Linked DNA regions of Caenorhabditis elegans. The protein of the gene in region 2 purifies or fractionates together with the protein of the main gene of each other region. This does not show direct contact. Each region holds a gene or a part of one and is shown on either strand. Other genes may lie near its edges.

The links.
Region 1: the proteins of lin-28 (region 2) and pup-2 purify together in Caenorhabditis elegans (affinity purification with western blotting, with the first as the bait; one study listed by BioGRID). This does not show direct contact.

Annotation. Positions count from the first base shown.
Region 1 is NC_003281.10:5,182,531-5,189,918, forward strand, and holds pup-2 (PAP-associated domain-containing protein), read left to right. Parts: upstream 1-3,389; 5' UTR 3,390-3,485; coding exon 3,486-3,500; intron 3,501-3,547; coding exon 3,548-3,785; intron 3,786-3,860; coding exon 3,861-3,927; intron 3,928-3,977; coding exon 3,978-4,391; intron 4,392-4,452; coding exon 4,453-4,967; intron 4,968-5,015; coding exon 5,016-5,173; intron 5,174-5,235; coding exon 5,236-5,355; 3' UTR 5,356-6,056; downstream 6,057-7,388. Other genes in the region: K10D2.8 (Protein phosphatase 1 regulatory subunit 7), read left to right, coding at 6,207-6,270, 6,315-6,405, 6,601-6,850, 6,900-7,268, 7,314-7,388.
Region 2 is NC_003279.8:8,406,191-8,414,158, reverse strand, and holds lin-28 (Protein lin-28), read left to right. Parts: upstream 1-3,354; 5' UTR 3,355-3,355; coding exon 3,356-3,496; intron 3,497-4,238; exon of another isoform or gene 4,239-4,427; coding exon of another isoform or gene 4,428-4,475; intron 4,476-4,818; coding exon 4,819-5,025; intron 5,026-5,662; coding exon 5,663-5,998; 3' UTR 5,999-6,527; downstream 6,528-7,968. Other genes in the region: F02E9.7 (Tartrate-resistant acid phosphatase type 5), read right to left, coding at 98-188, 793-867; F02E9.1 (Vacuolar ATPase assembly protein VMA22), read right to left, coding at 6,570-6,641, 6,685-6,837, 6,892-6,976, 7,029-7,097, 7,148-7,233. UniProt on the Caenorhabditis elegans protein: Heterochronic protein which controls the choice of stage specific cell fates. Regulates the timing of the second larval stage events (L2 events) in the hypodermis.

The DNA.
Region 1 (7,388 bases), on a different chromosome or scaffold from region 2:
CACTCTAGATGGACTCGCCAAAAAATTTAATGGACACGCAAAATATTAGTATCCAAGGGCTCATTCTCAGCTTTTGATTGGCCGATTCAGATTGACTCAAACCTAAAATTCTTTCCTATTCCCTTTTATAAAGTTGATAAGAATTCAAAAACATTCACACTTCTATGTCGTTCTCCGTGTTTTTCGTTTTTCTCCATCAGAACACCACTCATAACTATTATTTTTGATGTGTTCCAAACGTTCAGCCTGCAGAGACGTTTTCTCCTATTTTTGCGCCGAAATTGCATTGTTTTGTGTGCAAAGTAGGTGTCATTTGGTGCGCAGGTGTGTGTAGAACTCGAGAAAGAGGTTAATTGTCAGTGTGTACCACGTCATTTTATTCTAGGATAATATATGTAAATCATGAGCTATATTTGGTTTTTTTCTTGAATTGAGCACGTTGGCGTGTTACACTTCTAAAGTTTTGTGGTTCGTATACGGTTTCGAATTTCACCTTCTTCCTGTTTTCTCTTTTTATCTGATAAGACACAGCGAGTTGTTTGTTGTTTATTGGTTGGCTGGTTCCGCAGTCAATACTAACTGTGTGTTCTTTTTCACAATCTCTCTCGTTAGGCGTTCCCCCGATGAAAAGTATTGTTGTTTGATTTATATAGTAGTTTTCAAGTTTTCTTTTTTTTTAATTTGAATTTATTACAACAGTGAAATTGTTCATCTAGATTAAGAGGCTCTAGATTTTATTGTAAATATGAATTCAAGATTCAAGCAAATCTTGTTTTTTTAAATGCATTCAAGCGTTAGTTATCCAGAAATAATCTAATACAAAGAGTTTCATTCTGAAAAAGGAAAATACGAGAAATACTACCGTGTCGAACTTTAGAATGTTTTATCTAAATAGTCAAGATTTAGAATATTCTTTTTAAAACCGGATTTGAAGATCTTGATGTTCATATCTATCACTACTCTTCATGCCACTCGTCATCTATTATTTAGCCCAAGAGAGCATGATGTCGATACGGGATGACAGATGTTCCCGCCGTGGTTGCATTAAGACCAGACATGCACACATGCACAGAAGGCGTAAATACTTTATCGCACTCGTTCTCCTTCCCTCTCATTCTCTCATTCTTCCCGCTCTTTTTCTGTTTTTTCTAATGGTAGACGCACCACGTGTGCAGGCATGCTGTCCCTATTCTCCTTTGTATTCAATTTTCCTATTTTTCAACGTGTTCGTCTTCTGGGAGTTCTCATAAAGCTGCAAAATATTGCAAGTTTTGAGGAAATTCGTTTCCTTTCGAGTTGAAATGTTTTCAGTTCAGATTTGTAAATCTACTTTCAATGACAGAATTTTCTGTGTTATAATAACAATTTCTCGTTGTCTATAGAGCTGCGGTTTTCTTTCCCAATTTCGTCAGAATAATATGAGGTTGTCATGGAGTGCTGTTGTACAGCGTCAACTTGCCAAATTCTAGAATGTTATATTTATGTTATTGGTTTCGGAAAATAATGCCCTCTGGTTCCACTTAATTTCGAAGAGAATACTGATAATTATTAGTTCTTCCCGTGACGAATTGGTAATTACGTCTCCGTTTTCTTATAATTCAGACCACACAAGTAGTTTTGGAAGTTTCTCTAAGAAAAGGCTACGTGACGATGATGTTTTCTGAAAATGCTATGAATAGTATAATCCACATTTTTCATCTGGCAAGATTTATCTTAAAACATAAATATACTCCAGTTTATCATATAACTTTCAAATGGCCTAATCTATATTTCACTGGTTTTTGAAATATTCTTCGGTAAACTTTTGGTATTTTGGATTTTGGATTTGGTAAATGGTAAAAGTGTCACATTATATTTGCATTGATGTTTCGTCACTACATCCTTGATGTTTTTAGGCGTTAGTAAATGGAATGGAATGAAAGATTAAGAAGTAGGTCATTGTTTCTATAATGGATTAATCTAACAAAGAGCAGAAGGTTTTTCTTTTTTTGCAACGCTTTTTTGACTTCTGAAAAGCAAGAATTAAGAAAATATATACTTTTAATTCCCTATATCCCAGTTTTAGCGAAATTATCGATTCTGGAATATTATCCAGTTCGTATGAAGTTTTCTCACAAAAATTGTTATAATAACCAAGCGATCTGTGAGTAATATGAGTTGTTGATATGTTAGGAATATCCAGATCGAGAAGACTCATGCATAGTGAATCATACACGTCTTTCTCTATTTTTTCTTACTTTTGGTCTTCTTTTCTTCACAGTTGTTGACTTTGTCGTCATTCCTAAATTGGAATAAAGTCATTTCTTTTTTAGTGTACGAGAACGACAAAGACAAGCATTGGCTCATAGTCAGCAGGAAGCGTTTCACTTTCACTTTTTTCATTTTATATGGTAGATGGCATCCCGGATAGGTGATTGAAAAGACAGATGCCAGCTCTAGTTTTGGTTTCCGAGCCATCATGTTAGTCAGACTGTCCTTTTTCTCTTGGGATCTCTAGGGGATGTCCTCGGAGAGCCCTTTTCTGTTGGAATTATTTTAAAAAGTTGTACTTTACATTTTAGTATAAATGACCTAATGTAGGGCAAAGTATCAATTATTTCATTTATTCATAGAGAGGCGTCCTAGAGCGAATCAGTTTTATGCACAGCGGTCTCGTGTAAGATTTCTATATATCCATAATTTATTTTTCAATTTTCACTGAAATAATTAGCTAATGTAGTGGTCAGAATTCGTATACGTCAAGAGTAGCTTTCTCATATGGAAATTTGTGTTTTTTAACCAAAAAACACATTTTGTTCCTAGCTATTGTTGGGTGTGAACTGAGGACGCATGTTCCTGCAGTCCAATGAAGCTCGCCCAGTAAACAAAGTGAGAATTGGTGTGAATGGACGTGCCGGGGTGCTCTGAGAAGACGTTGTAGAATAATTCATGTGGAATGGGATAGAAGAGTCGAAACGTCTGGCGAATTCAGTTGAACGTTTATCCCGCAAAACGGGAAAGGTCCAACAAGTATGTACTCCACCGCTACAGCTTTTTTTACTTCAAAAAAATGGAAAAGTACGCTCGGCTAAACCTCTTAAATTGAGTTCCAATTTTTCAAAACCTTTTTGAGAATGAAAATTATGAAGACCAGTCGAGCAACAACATTTTAATTTAAAACATGAGAAAATAAAAGAATCCATTGCTGTGAATGACAAATGAGGTAATTTGCTTATTTCGGTTTCTCATTCTGCTATTCTAGTCATTATTTTCCTAGAAATGAATATATATTTTTTAGTTTTTCCTCTCCAAAGGTTTTTCTCTGACTTATTCTTTGAACTTTACTCCTTATCGTGATTTCTCTTTTTTTTTGTTGATATTTCTTCTATTAATTTTCAAAATTATTTCAGTATGGAGTGCTAGAAAAGCTCAAACACGCGGTACAACACACACATTCACTGGACACCACTGACCACAAGATCCCTCACATCAACTGACACTTACTAATGACAGTTATTCAGGTAAATATTAAATTTTCCTAAAACTAAAATAATATCCTACTTTTCAGAAGTCGTCTCCTACAGTGAAAGGAGTGAAGACAACAACATCAGATTGCACCGAAAGACGTCACTCATCGAGTTCACCTTGCAAAATGAGTCAAAACGGAAGCAGTGGATACTATGAAGGAGATGTTTTACTGGATGATGATGCTCTTGTTTCGATGCCAGAAGCAACGCTCATTGAGTGCTTTGGTAATCTGGCTGTCACAAAAAGACCTGCACATCTGAGACCTCCGGCAGCTTTCTGTACGTTTTTTCCGTTATACGAAGAAAATTTAATATCTTTTAAAAAAATAATAATCACAAATTGGAATTTTACAGGTCTACCGTTTGTATCAATGAACAACGATTTGACGAGCGGACATGCCTTGAAACATATCACATTGACGTTAGTTTTCGAGTTAATTTTACTTTTATTTAAAAAAAAAACATTTTTAGATCAGTATTCGACGCACTACATCCGTACGTTGCCATGCCGTACATCAACAGAATGGATATATGCTCTGCAATGAACGTATATTGGATCAGAAACTGTTTGGAAGCTGAACAATCCGATTTATTTCATCGATTCGCTCTGGAAATGCAAGTACATTTGAGTGCATGTTTTGGATGTCGCGTTGTCCTGGATATCTATGGATCAACCAGAAACGGATTCGGTACCCGATTCTGTGATGTTGATATGTCACTTTCTTTTTCACCGAGTCCACCTTCATGGGCAACCAATTCGGATCGAGTGATGAGAGCTGTTGCGAAGGCACTTGTCGATTTTCCGAAAGCAGTTGATGAGAGATATGTCAACGCCAAAGTTCCAATTGTCAGATTCAGAAGCAGTGACATGGATATGGAAGCAGAGTAAGTTTTTATAAAATCTTGATCTTGTCAGAACTTTAAATTAAAATTCTAATTATTTCAGCATCAGTTACAAGAATGATTTGGCTCTTCACAATACTCAGCTTTTGCAACAATACTGCAAATGGGATCCCGAAAGACTACCGACTCTTGGAGTTTGGGTCAAAGCGTGGGCGAAACGAAGTGGAGTTGGAGATGCATCAAAAGGATCGCTGTCTTCATATGCTTGGATTGTGATGCTTATTCATTATCTTCAGCAAGTCGAACCAATTCCTGTGTTGCCATGTCTTCAGGAAATGAACCATCAGAAAAGTGAAAATGTCTACGTCCAAGGTTACAACACGTATTATTGGAAATTCGTAGACACTGCTCGTACACGACGTTGTCGTGCTTCTGTCGTTGATTTGTTCGTTGGATTCTTGGATTACTATGCCACATACTTTGACTACTCCACAAATGTTATCCAGATGGTGTCCAAGAAATTGGAATTCAAACCGGATCGCTGGTGCAAGTATCCAATGTGTATTGCTGATCCGTTCGAGACGGATCATAATTTGGCACAAGGTGTTGATATGCCAAGTGAGCTATTAGAAACCTTGTTTATTCCATTAATTTCCTTATTTTCAGTGTTTGAATACATTAGATCGTGTATGGAACACTCGAAGAAAGTATTCACGGATCGCCGCATGCGCTCGGAGTTTCTTTCGGGATACGGGTTCGACGTTGACGAATTTGATGCAAGGCATCGAGGCGAAATGAACATGGAAATGGCGTCACAATTTGGGGTAAGAATAGTCATTCTTTAATTTTTTTAAAAGAAAATTTTGATTTGTTAAAACATTTTTAGGAATTCCTTCTTCACAAGTGCATAATGGTGAAACAAGCCCCGAATCGTCAATTCCGTGATCGCAGTATGAGTCAATCGACGAGCATAAGCAACACATCGAGTATTTCCTCGTCGGGATAGTTTTTCATACGTGTTTCTTCTCATCATCATCATTTTTTTATCGAAGAACGGTATCCAGGAGCTTTTTTTATAATTTGTCAAAACTCCCGGGTATTCATTCTTTCTCTTTTCTAACCTAACCTTTACAAACCGATCACAAAATTTATTAATTACCCCTTTATTAACCTTTTTTATCACAAGTCCTAGTGATTCCTAGTGCATCCATTGCCCATTTTAATTGTATATGTACATAATTGAACCCCATCCCCACCCGACATCACAACCTCATCAATTTTTCTCAAAACTTTTCAAAAATCGCGCCTTTTCTTCCCATTTTTGTGGGTCTTGATATTCACACACACAGCCGGCTCTGTATTCAAAAAATCTCAAAAAATCATGCGCAAAGTCACTTTTCTCTCCATGTGTCCCCTCATTTGAACAAAAAAAATGTATAAAATCACAAGAGCTGGTTCTCGGAAATTGTTTTCACCCGTTTATGTATTTTCATCTCCCTTCTCATATTTCCCTGTGTGAATGTAAATTGACTCACTAAATTAATTTCTTTATTCCACCTGATTTCGAGACTAATAAGTCTGAGCTTAATTACCCTCCCTGCATCCAAATTCCCCAAATAATATTAACGATCAAGTTTTATCAACTGTTGATTTTTCTTTCTACGGCTCTCTTAAAATATTCAAGTCCCTCCTCACTAATTCCCTCCCCCCCCCCCTTTTTTTCTTTTATTACATACGAATTTTTCTTGTAATAAAAATTGAGCCTAGACGTGAACTTTGCATAAATCGCCAACAAAAAACCACGTGATTCTTTTCAAAACACGTTGTTCAATAATAAAAACAAATCATTTTGCGAGAATGTTGCAAATTGAGAAAATTGTTTCGAATAAAGGAAATGGTGATATTATCAAGGAAATAATTTGTAAGTTGGAAAACACATTTTCAGATAATATTCCAGAGTTTCAGCTCACAATGTTGATGAAGATATCACCGAATTGAGTCTGATTCGTCATAGAATTCAGAAAATCTGGCAATTTGAAAATACTCCAGGTATTAGGTACGTTTTCTGTAAATTGTAATATCCAGTTGCGAAAGCTTACGGTTTCGGATGGTACCGGGTCTCGACACGATCGAAAGTTTTTAGCTACTGAATTTATTGCAAAAGTATACTTGTAGGTACGGTAGCTTCAAAATTTTGGTCGTGTCGAGACCTTTTTTTTAAAGATTTGACTTAATTTTTTAATTTTCTTAGAGATCTGTCTCTTCGCTGGAATCTTTTGAAGAAGATTGATCATTTCCAATGTCTCACTTCTCTGACACGTCTCAATTTGAATGATAATCAAATTGAAAAACTCGAAAATTTGGAAACTCTGGTGAATCTAGTATTTCTCGATGTCTCCTACAATCGTATAACGAAAATTGAAGGACTTTCCGAATTGATTAATTTGGAGGAGCTTCATTTAGTTCATAACAAGATTATTACCATTGAAGGACTCGAAACGGTAGTGCAGTAGAGCGTGATTTCACTCAACAATTATTTGAAAATTTCAGAATACTGCTATGAAATACTTGGAATTTGGTGATAACCGCATTCAAAAAATGGAAAATCTGTCTCATTTGGTCAATTTGGAGCGTCTTTTCCTCGGAGCCAACCAAATTCGTAAAATCGAGGGACTTGACGGAATGGCTCAATTGAAAGAGCTTAGTCTTCCTGGAAATGCTCTTCAAATCATCGAAGGTCTTGACACGTTGTCCGGATTGAAATCAATCAGTTTGGCTCAGAATGGAATTCGAAAAATTGATGGGCTTTCTGGGTTGACGAATCTCAAATCGTTGGATTTAAACGATAATATTATTGAGAAACTCGAAAATGTGGAACAGTTCAAGGGAATTAGTAGTCTTATGATTCGTAAGAATAAAGTAAGCAAAAAATTTATAATTTTACAACTTTACAATTATTTTTAGCTCAATTGTTGGCAAGACGTCCGTCAGTTGAAGAAACTTGAGAATCTCACAGTCTTGACTATGGAAATGAACCCA
Region 2 (7,968 bases):
TAAATTTTAACAAAAAAGTTTTAAAAATTAGGATAAAATTAATAATTTAGTAAGAAGTGCACTCTAAAACCACCTAAATCCCTCATGAAAAACCAACTGGAGACTGCAATGAAGAAGATTGTCGAAATGCCGAAAAGTCCCACAAAACACATGATTTTTCGCATTTTCCGTCGAGATTTCACTTTTTGCTGAAATAAATTTATTTGAAAAAAAAGATTTTTGAGAAATTCAACTTATTGAGTGTTAAAAACATTTGTAATCTGAAATTCTAGAAAATTTAAATTTCAAAACAATACTAGGCAGTTAAAAAAAGAGAATAGTCAAGCGGAACTGATTTGTCATGAATTGGAATATAAGCCTATTAAAAAGGCTTATATTTCCAAAAAGGGATTACTCTTTGGCCTTAAACAATTCGAGATTTACTAGTTTTATCTGTTGGAATATTAAAATTTTGTTTTTAAAAATATGTTTTTGATATAAAATTTGAATGTTTTTTCAGAGGGCAACAATAACCACAATAAACTGATAAAACTTCATGAAATGATACCCTTTTTTTATGCAAATCGGTCGTTTTTGGGAAGTTTATGATTCATCGGAACTTTATTTTATTTTATTTTTATCTCATGTTTTTAATCGTGAGAAAATTTTGAGAAGGAAGAAAATGCAAGCTTATCGAATTGTCAATGATTTTCAATAATTAAAAAAAATGTTTTAAGCTAAATCGTGCAAAAATTACTTGAAATTTTTATATATTTATATTAAGTTATTGATTTTTTAAAATGCAAGACTTACTGGAAGATCAGGAAGAAATCGATCAAGTGATGACGAGCTACTGCGTTTTTCCAATTTTTCATCAACAAGCAGCATTTTCGGTAAAACTCTTCAAGCTTGAGGGTGCTCTGACCTGAAATTAATAAAAATTTATTCATTTTTATACAATTATTTATCAATTTGAGGAAAACATCGGTGGAAGGAAATTCAAACAATTTCGAAACTTTGAGTAATTTCTTAGATTTGAGAAAAATTACTAAGCGTTCCGCAATTAAATGAGTATTTTCAAAAGTTGGGCATCGATTTCTCTATTTTCCAGATATTTTCCGAAGATAACGACTGGATGTGTGAGCGTGTTATTGAGCGAATATAGAATGACGAACAATGTCTGTTTCTCGGCGTCTCTCACCTTTTCTTCTCTTTTACTTCGTTTTTTATCTGACTATGTTTGTTCTTACCGCAAGATAGCACGCGTGCTCCTTTGCGTCTGGGTTATAGATCAAAAAATGAAGAAACGGTTTTGCGGGGAGTTTTTTGGGGTTTTGGCCTAAATTTTTTTGTTTAATTTTGATGCTTGGTCTATGATGTGAAATTGAGAGTGTGAAGATTGAAAAAAATCGGAGATATATTTAAAAAATGAATGTGAATACGAGAAATCAATCAAAATAAACAATTATTCTAAAAAACAAATCGATAATTGAAACTTCCAGGTTACGGTAGTTTTAAAGGCACACAACAATTCACTTGCTTTGGGTCTCGCAGCGCATATGGTTCACTTTTTGAAAATTTTATTCTGAGCTTGATTTTCTCCATTTCAAACATGTTTTATTTAATTGAATTTAAGATTTATTTGTGTTTTCATTGTGAAATATTTATCCGAAAGTCTCACCAAGACATTTCTCGATATCTACTGCCATAAAACCCATCCAGCATTCCTGTCTGTCCGATCACATCTCGGAGCGCTTTTCTGTTGAAAAAACCTTGGCATTGAAAAATAGCGTGTGAGATGAAGAAATACAAAGAAAACAAGAATAGAGAGGAAACGGGGCACAAACGAAGAGACAAGAAAATGATGTGTGCAAGGCGTTTGTGTTTCGGTTTCAACACTATTTAAAATATTCGTTTTTCTTTTGGTTTCTGGGTTTTGAAACCAGTATTTAATTATAACTTAAATTTTTCAAAAGCTAGAAAATCATTGATAAAAGCTTTTTTTTTAATTTTTAAGTTATTTTCGATTCCGCAGAAAATCTTTTGCACTATGAAATCAAAAAGATACCAATCATCAAAAACCTCTGAATCTCATCTCTTTCCCGTCGAAAAAATAACATAAAACATTCGTTGCCACCAGATATCCACCAACTGTTGATTATATCAGATCATCTCATTTTTATCTCCATTCCATCACTTCAAAGCCTCTTTGCAACGAAGGTGAGAAAGAAATTGAAAATTCTGCTTCTCTTCATCTCTTCTCACCGTTCTTATCTGCTTGTCAGTTCTTTTTTTGCGGCGGTTAAATATCATTCAATTTTCAATTCATTTTCTTATTCGACAATTCTCTCCTCTGCACCTAAGATCACCTGCATCACGTTTAATCCAATATGGGTGGTTTAATCAAGTCTTATAGAAAGAAATATGAATAGCTGGAAATTGATATTTCTTTTTTTCTAACTTGGAAACAACCTGATAATACATTAGTTCAAATCGAAATTTGGACTTTTGGAATAATTTGGAAAAACCAAATGCAGATGTAGAGGTGAAATAAAATTACTGTTCCAAAAAAAAAAAAAATACTGTTCCATGCTCATTTCTTTTTCCAATTTCTTTTCCATCTCCTATTGATACTGAATAAGTGATTCCTTTTTTCCGATATATCGCCCTCCGGCGCCCTGCTCCCCTTGTATAATTTCTCTTTATCTCTACCACTCTCCCCACTTTCAATGATCACTTTTTGTCCTGGCGCCTGACCCTTCGTCCATCCGATGCCGTCCATTTTTCATCTCTTTTTCTCTGCATTTCTCCATTTTTATCATACTATTTCCGTTCATTTTTCTTTTAGTATGGTGTAGAAATAGTTGTTCACGGTGGTTCAGTTGCTAGATGGGTGCAAACGCGCTCCACCGAACAAACATGCATAACTTGGCAGGGAAGTACAAAATCAAACATTCATCACAAATAAAGATAGATAATTTCATTGCGGTCATTTCTTATATGCATCGCAAAATCGACTTTGTGACGGTTTTCGAGATAGTAGCCAATATATGTTTCCAGACTGAGTATCATGAACAAACCCATCTAGTTTCTGTGCTACCGGGTGTTGATGGACGCTACTGCAAGCGCGCTGTGTTGAGGACAATAGATGATTGGCGCGGTGCCAACATCATCCGTTTGTTCAGTTTTGACATTTTCCAATCTTGCTTCTATTTGAATTTATAGTTTCTTTCTATAATTTTAATTTCATCATCGGAAGTTCAGCAATGCTTTTAATTAAAAATCTCACAATTAAGTACTGAACTACATATATGTATATTACTTTATTTAAATACGTGACGATTCTCAAAAAAAAATTTTAAAAATCTTTTTCAGGATGTCGACGGTAGTATCGGAGGGAAGGAATGATGGGAATAACCGATATTCACCACAAGATGAAGTTGAAGATAGGCTGCCAGATGTAGTTGACAATAGGCTTACTGAGAACATGAGAGTTCCTTCCTTCGAGAGGCTCCCGGTAAGTTTTTAGTTTTTTGTTTAGAATTATAAAATTATCTAATTTCCGAAAATTTTTCGTTTAAGCCAAGTTTTAATTCTCAATTTTTAAGCATAGTTAATTATAAAACATTTTCGCAAATGACTCTAAAATTAACTTTGACAATTCAATCAAACCTTACTGAATCTATCGAAACCCAGAAACAGTTTTATTTTGGTTTCTGGTGTTCCAATTTTTAGATTTTCAGAAATTTTCGGTAAATATTTTTGTAACAGTTTTTAGTTGAAGACTCCAAATATTTTTTTTGATATTTCGAAAATGTCAGTTAAGGATTTGGTACATTTCCTAAAATTTTGATCTTATTGAGAAATTTCTAGCATTGTTACACTTTTTATGATGATAATCGACCATTTAAGCATAGTACAGATAGTTTCAAACAATTTTGGAATTACTCTGACTTTGAAATTTTTTTTTTAATTGTAGAAACTTGTTTTCTTAGAATTACGCATTCTTACAAAAGATATAGAATGTTCATAAGATGTTTGAGTCGATTTCCCATTAACTGCAGGTGCATTTCATTCTTCCATCATCCGTAAATCATTATTTGGTATACGGTATCTCTCTCCTTTCTAACACTTCCGCGCGGAATAAAAACAGAGATTCAGAGAAATAGAGAGAGGTCAGCTGAGAAGAAGAAGTGTCGCGCACACAGCTCCTCGCCCAATGCCCTCCTGTCGGTTTCTCTGTGAACACTCCACATTTCAAATGATCTCTAATTCAGTTCCTCCACCGCTCACTCATCCTTTCCTCGAATCTCTGGGTTTCCTCGCCACTCTTTTTTTCTCTGTGCTCTCTCTCACCCATTACTATTATTATTTGTATGTGTGGTATTGTTGTTCTGTATATTTGATAGGTTGTATTCTCTAGTTAACACATAGTTCTAATTAGAACAATGATTGAAGCCGCTTTGGAGAATCCGGTGCCCATCAAATCTCAATTGGTATGTAACTAATTGAAATTGCAACTGAAAAAATATCACTGTTTATTTATTGATTCGATTGTAAATAGTCTCGAATTTCCAGTGACGATTCGGGGTAAAACCGGAAAAAAAGTAATTTATAAATAAAAGTCGGAGCGACGAGAAGAGCTTTAATTAAAAATATCTTAACGGTTTAGCAATTTAAAAAAAATATTTAGTTACCTAAATACTTTGAGAGTGGATTATTTATGGTGTTAAAATGAGGAAATATTACTGAAAACTCAGTAAATTAAAAAATTTATATAAAGAAGATGTCAATTAATAACTGCGTCATAATGCCTTTCAAATAATTTAATTTTTTCAGTCACCAACACCTCGATACTTTGGCTCATGCAAATGGTTTAATGTGTCGAAAGGATATGGTTTTGTGATCGATGACATCACCGGTGAAGATCTATTCGTTCATCAGTCTAATCTCAATATGCAAGGATTTCGGAGTCTTGATGAAGGAGAACGTGTATCATACTACATTCAAGAGCGATCGAATGGAAAAGGTAGAGAAGCTTATGCGGTTCGTTTTATTTTTATTTTTTCTAACAGCAAAAGTTAAAAAAAAGGTCAGCGTTCTTTAAATTTGTTTTTTCATCAAAAAAACCTGACAAAAATCAAGCATAATTCATAAAAGCTTTTCCTATTCTGTCAATTAGAAAGTATATTAGTTCTTACGAATTCTCTTTAATCTTTGTCAGTATTTTTGAAAAATAATATTTAAAAACTAAAAAAAAACGCTGCTTTAACCTATATTTTGAATGCGAGAGAAACTTTGCTTATGGTATTTTTGCGCAATTTATTGAGATACGGGAATCCGAAATTCTGAGAATGCGTATTGCACAACATATTTGACGCGCAAAATATCTCGTAGCGACAACTACAGTAATCATTTTAATGACTATTGTAGCTGTGTCGATTTAGGGGCAAAAAAAACACGAAGAATAAAAAAGAAATATCGCTGTCACTATTCGAAAAGAATTTCATTCGAGATCGTAAATCGGCACTAGCGCTAATTACAGTAGTATTAAAAAAATTACTGTAGTTTTCGCTACAGGATATGTTGTCAATGCGCATTCTCAGTTTTTTGTTCCAGTGCAATATTAAAGCAAAATAATAATGTAAATTGAAAATCCAACTCAATTTTATACAGTTTTCAGGTATCAGGAGAAGTAGAAGGACAAGGACTGAAAGGAAGCCGAATTCATCCATTGGGTCGTAAGAAGGCTGTCTCACTACGTTGCTTCAGATGTGGAAAGTTTGCGACTCACAAGGCGAAAAGTTGTCCAAACGTAAAAACCGATGCAAAAGTGTGTTATACCTGTGGATCCGAGGAGCACGTGAGCTCAATCTGTCCTGAAAGACGACGAAAGCATCGACCGGAACAAGTTGCCGCAGAGGAAGCAGAAGCTGCGAGAATGGCAGCTGAAAAATCATCACCGACTACATCTGACGATGATATTAGAGAAAAGAATAGTAATTCCTCTGATGAATAGAATCATCTAGACACTGAGAATATTGATAGAGAAATAATGGAATATATGGTCTCAAATAGATTTTGTCTCGAAATTCTTGAACATCCAAATTTAAATGTGAAAATTTTAGGAAATAATTTTGAGCTTTCTGATAGTTTTTCAGCTTTTGAAATGTATTTTATTTTGAAACCAATATTTATTTCATTTTCTGTCTCATCTAATTCTCAGTTTGCATGCGTTACTTTAACTTACACACTAACTCTTTTTTTATTCAAATTTTGATGTTTTTTTTTCAATTGTTTTACTCAAATTTCCCCTCTAAACCATACTACCACCTACCTCCTCAAATTGCACTCTCAGGGATTCTTTTTTTTTTCAAATAGAACTGATTGCACCTGTTTTCAGGATCTATAAATCTTATAATATATTTAACTTTCGTGTCTTTTCATGTTCATGTATTTCTTGCTGAAATCCATCATTTTCTCTGAAAATCTCTACTCGTAAGTTCCGCTATTGCGGGCGAACGCTGAAATAAATCGAGAGTTTTGTTTTTATATTGATTGAATACATATTTATCACAGAATCATGCAATTTAACAATCCTCAACAAGTTGGCGGGATTTGGCAAGAATTGATTGTTGGGTGGATACAAGGTCGAGAATCGTCTGAAAAATGGATTTGAAATTAAATTCCTGAGATTTTCAATACCTGAATAGAATTTCTATAAATTTTTCGAGCGTCCTTTGCAGCAGCCGGCTCAAGAACCCCAAACGGACGGAATTGTCCAGAAAATGTTTTTTTGGCTTCTTCAACGTCTTCTGATTCTCCGCTATTCTTCTTTTCTGATTTATTCTCGTCCTTCTGCAAAAAATTTAAATGTAAATTTTTGTGGAACAAAAAACGATTGCAAAAAACCTTTTTCTTATTCTTTTTGTCGTTTTTCTCTTCCTCATTCTCTGAATTTTTGAGAAGTACAAATTTCCCGTTTTTCGTATCCAATCTAAAAATGAATACACTTAAGTAAGTATAATTCAAAAAAAAGTAGTTTATACCTGATAGATGGCTCCAAATCGTGTGTATCGACAGAATTAACACTGAAAAGACCAATTCCGTGCGTTGTTCTGAACAATTTCTCGATAAAGATTCATTTTACGAAACGAATAAAACTTACTTTGCTTTAGAAATACACAAACTTGCCAAGTTCAAGTCTTTTCGAAGTTGATCGTGAAGGGTGATGAATTTGTCGATTAATTCCATTTTTTCGAGGTATAAATCATTTTTCTGATTTATTGATTGCGCAGGCATCACTGGAAATATACGCTTTTATTGTAAAGCAGTAAGGAAAAAGAGAAAATGATTGAAAAAAGCAGAGAACGATCAAAAATTGGTTGAAACAGCAAGTGCGCCCTATTGCACAATGCTAATGAAAACCGAGGGAATTCAAATTAGAAATGTCGATGGGTCACACAACATTTTGTCCTAGAGTATTTAATTTAAATAATCGGAAATTTCTGAACAATCTTGGAAAAGTTGAAGCTAACAATAAAATGTATATAAATCCAGTATTTAAATTAATTTTTTTCTATAAAAACCCAAGGTCGGAGAGATTACGTGTGAGATAATAATCCAGAAACAAAACAATTCAGTTCTTATAAGTTATTTCGTTGGCGATCGCAAAACGAGAAGATTTGCACTCAAATCGTAAGTTTTAATCAGATTTCTTTCGGGTTTGAGATTTCCGTCGTTGGCATTGCTTCAAGCCTACTTGCATACTTAATACCTTCGTGAACTTTGTGTTTGATGCTACAGTTGTAGTAATTTCGATTGGTTTTGTTGAAAATCAGAATAAAGAAAGCAAGGCTCTAGGCTGCTGGTAGGCACGAGGCAGGCGAAGGCATAGGTTCCTACTGTGGAGGAATACGGTAACGCCATTAGTACGCAAACATAGCGGTTCTCACGACAAAATGCTTTGGTATTCTTGATGCTCTAGAG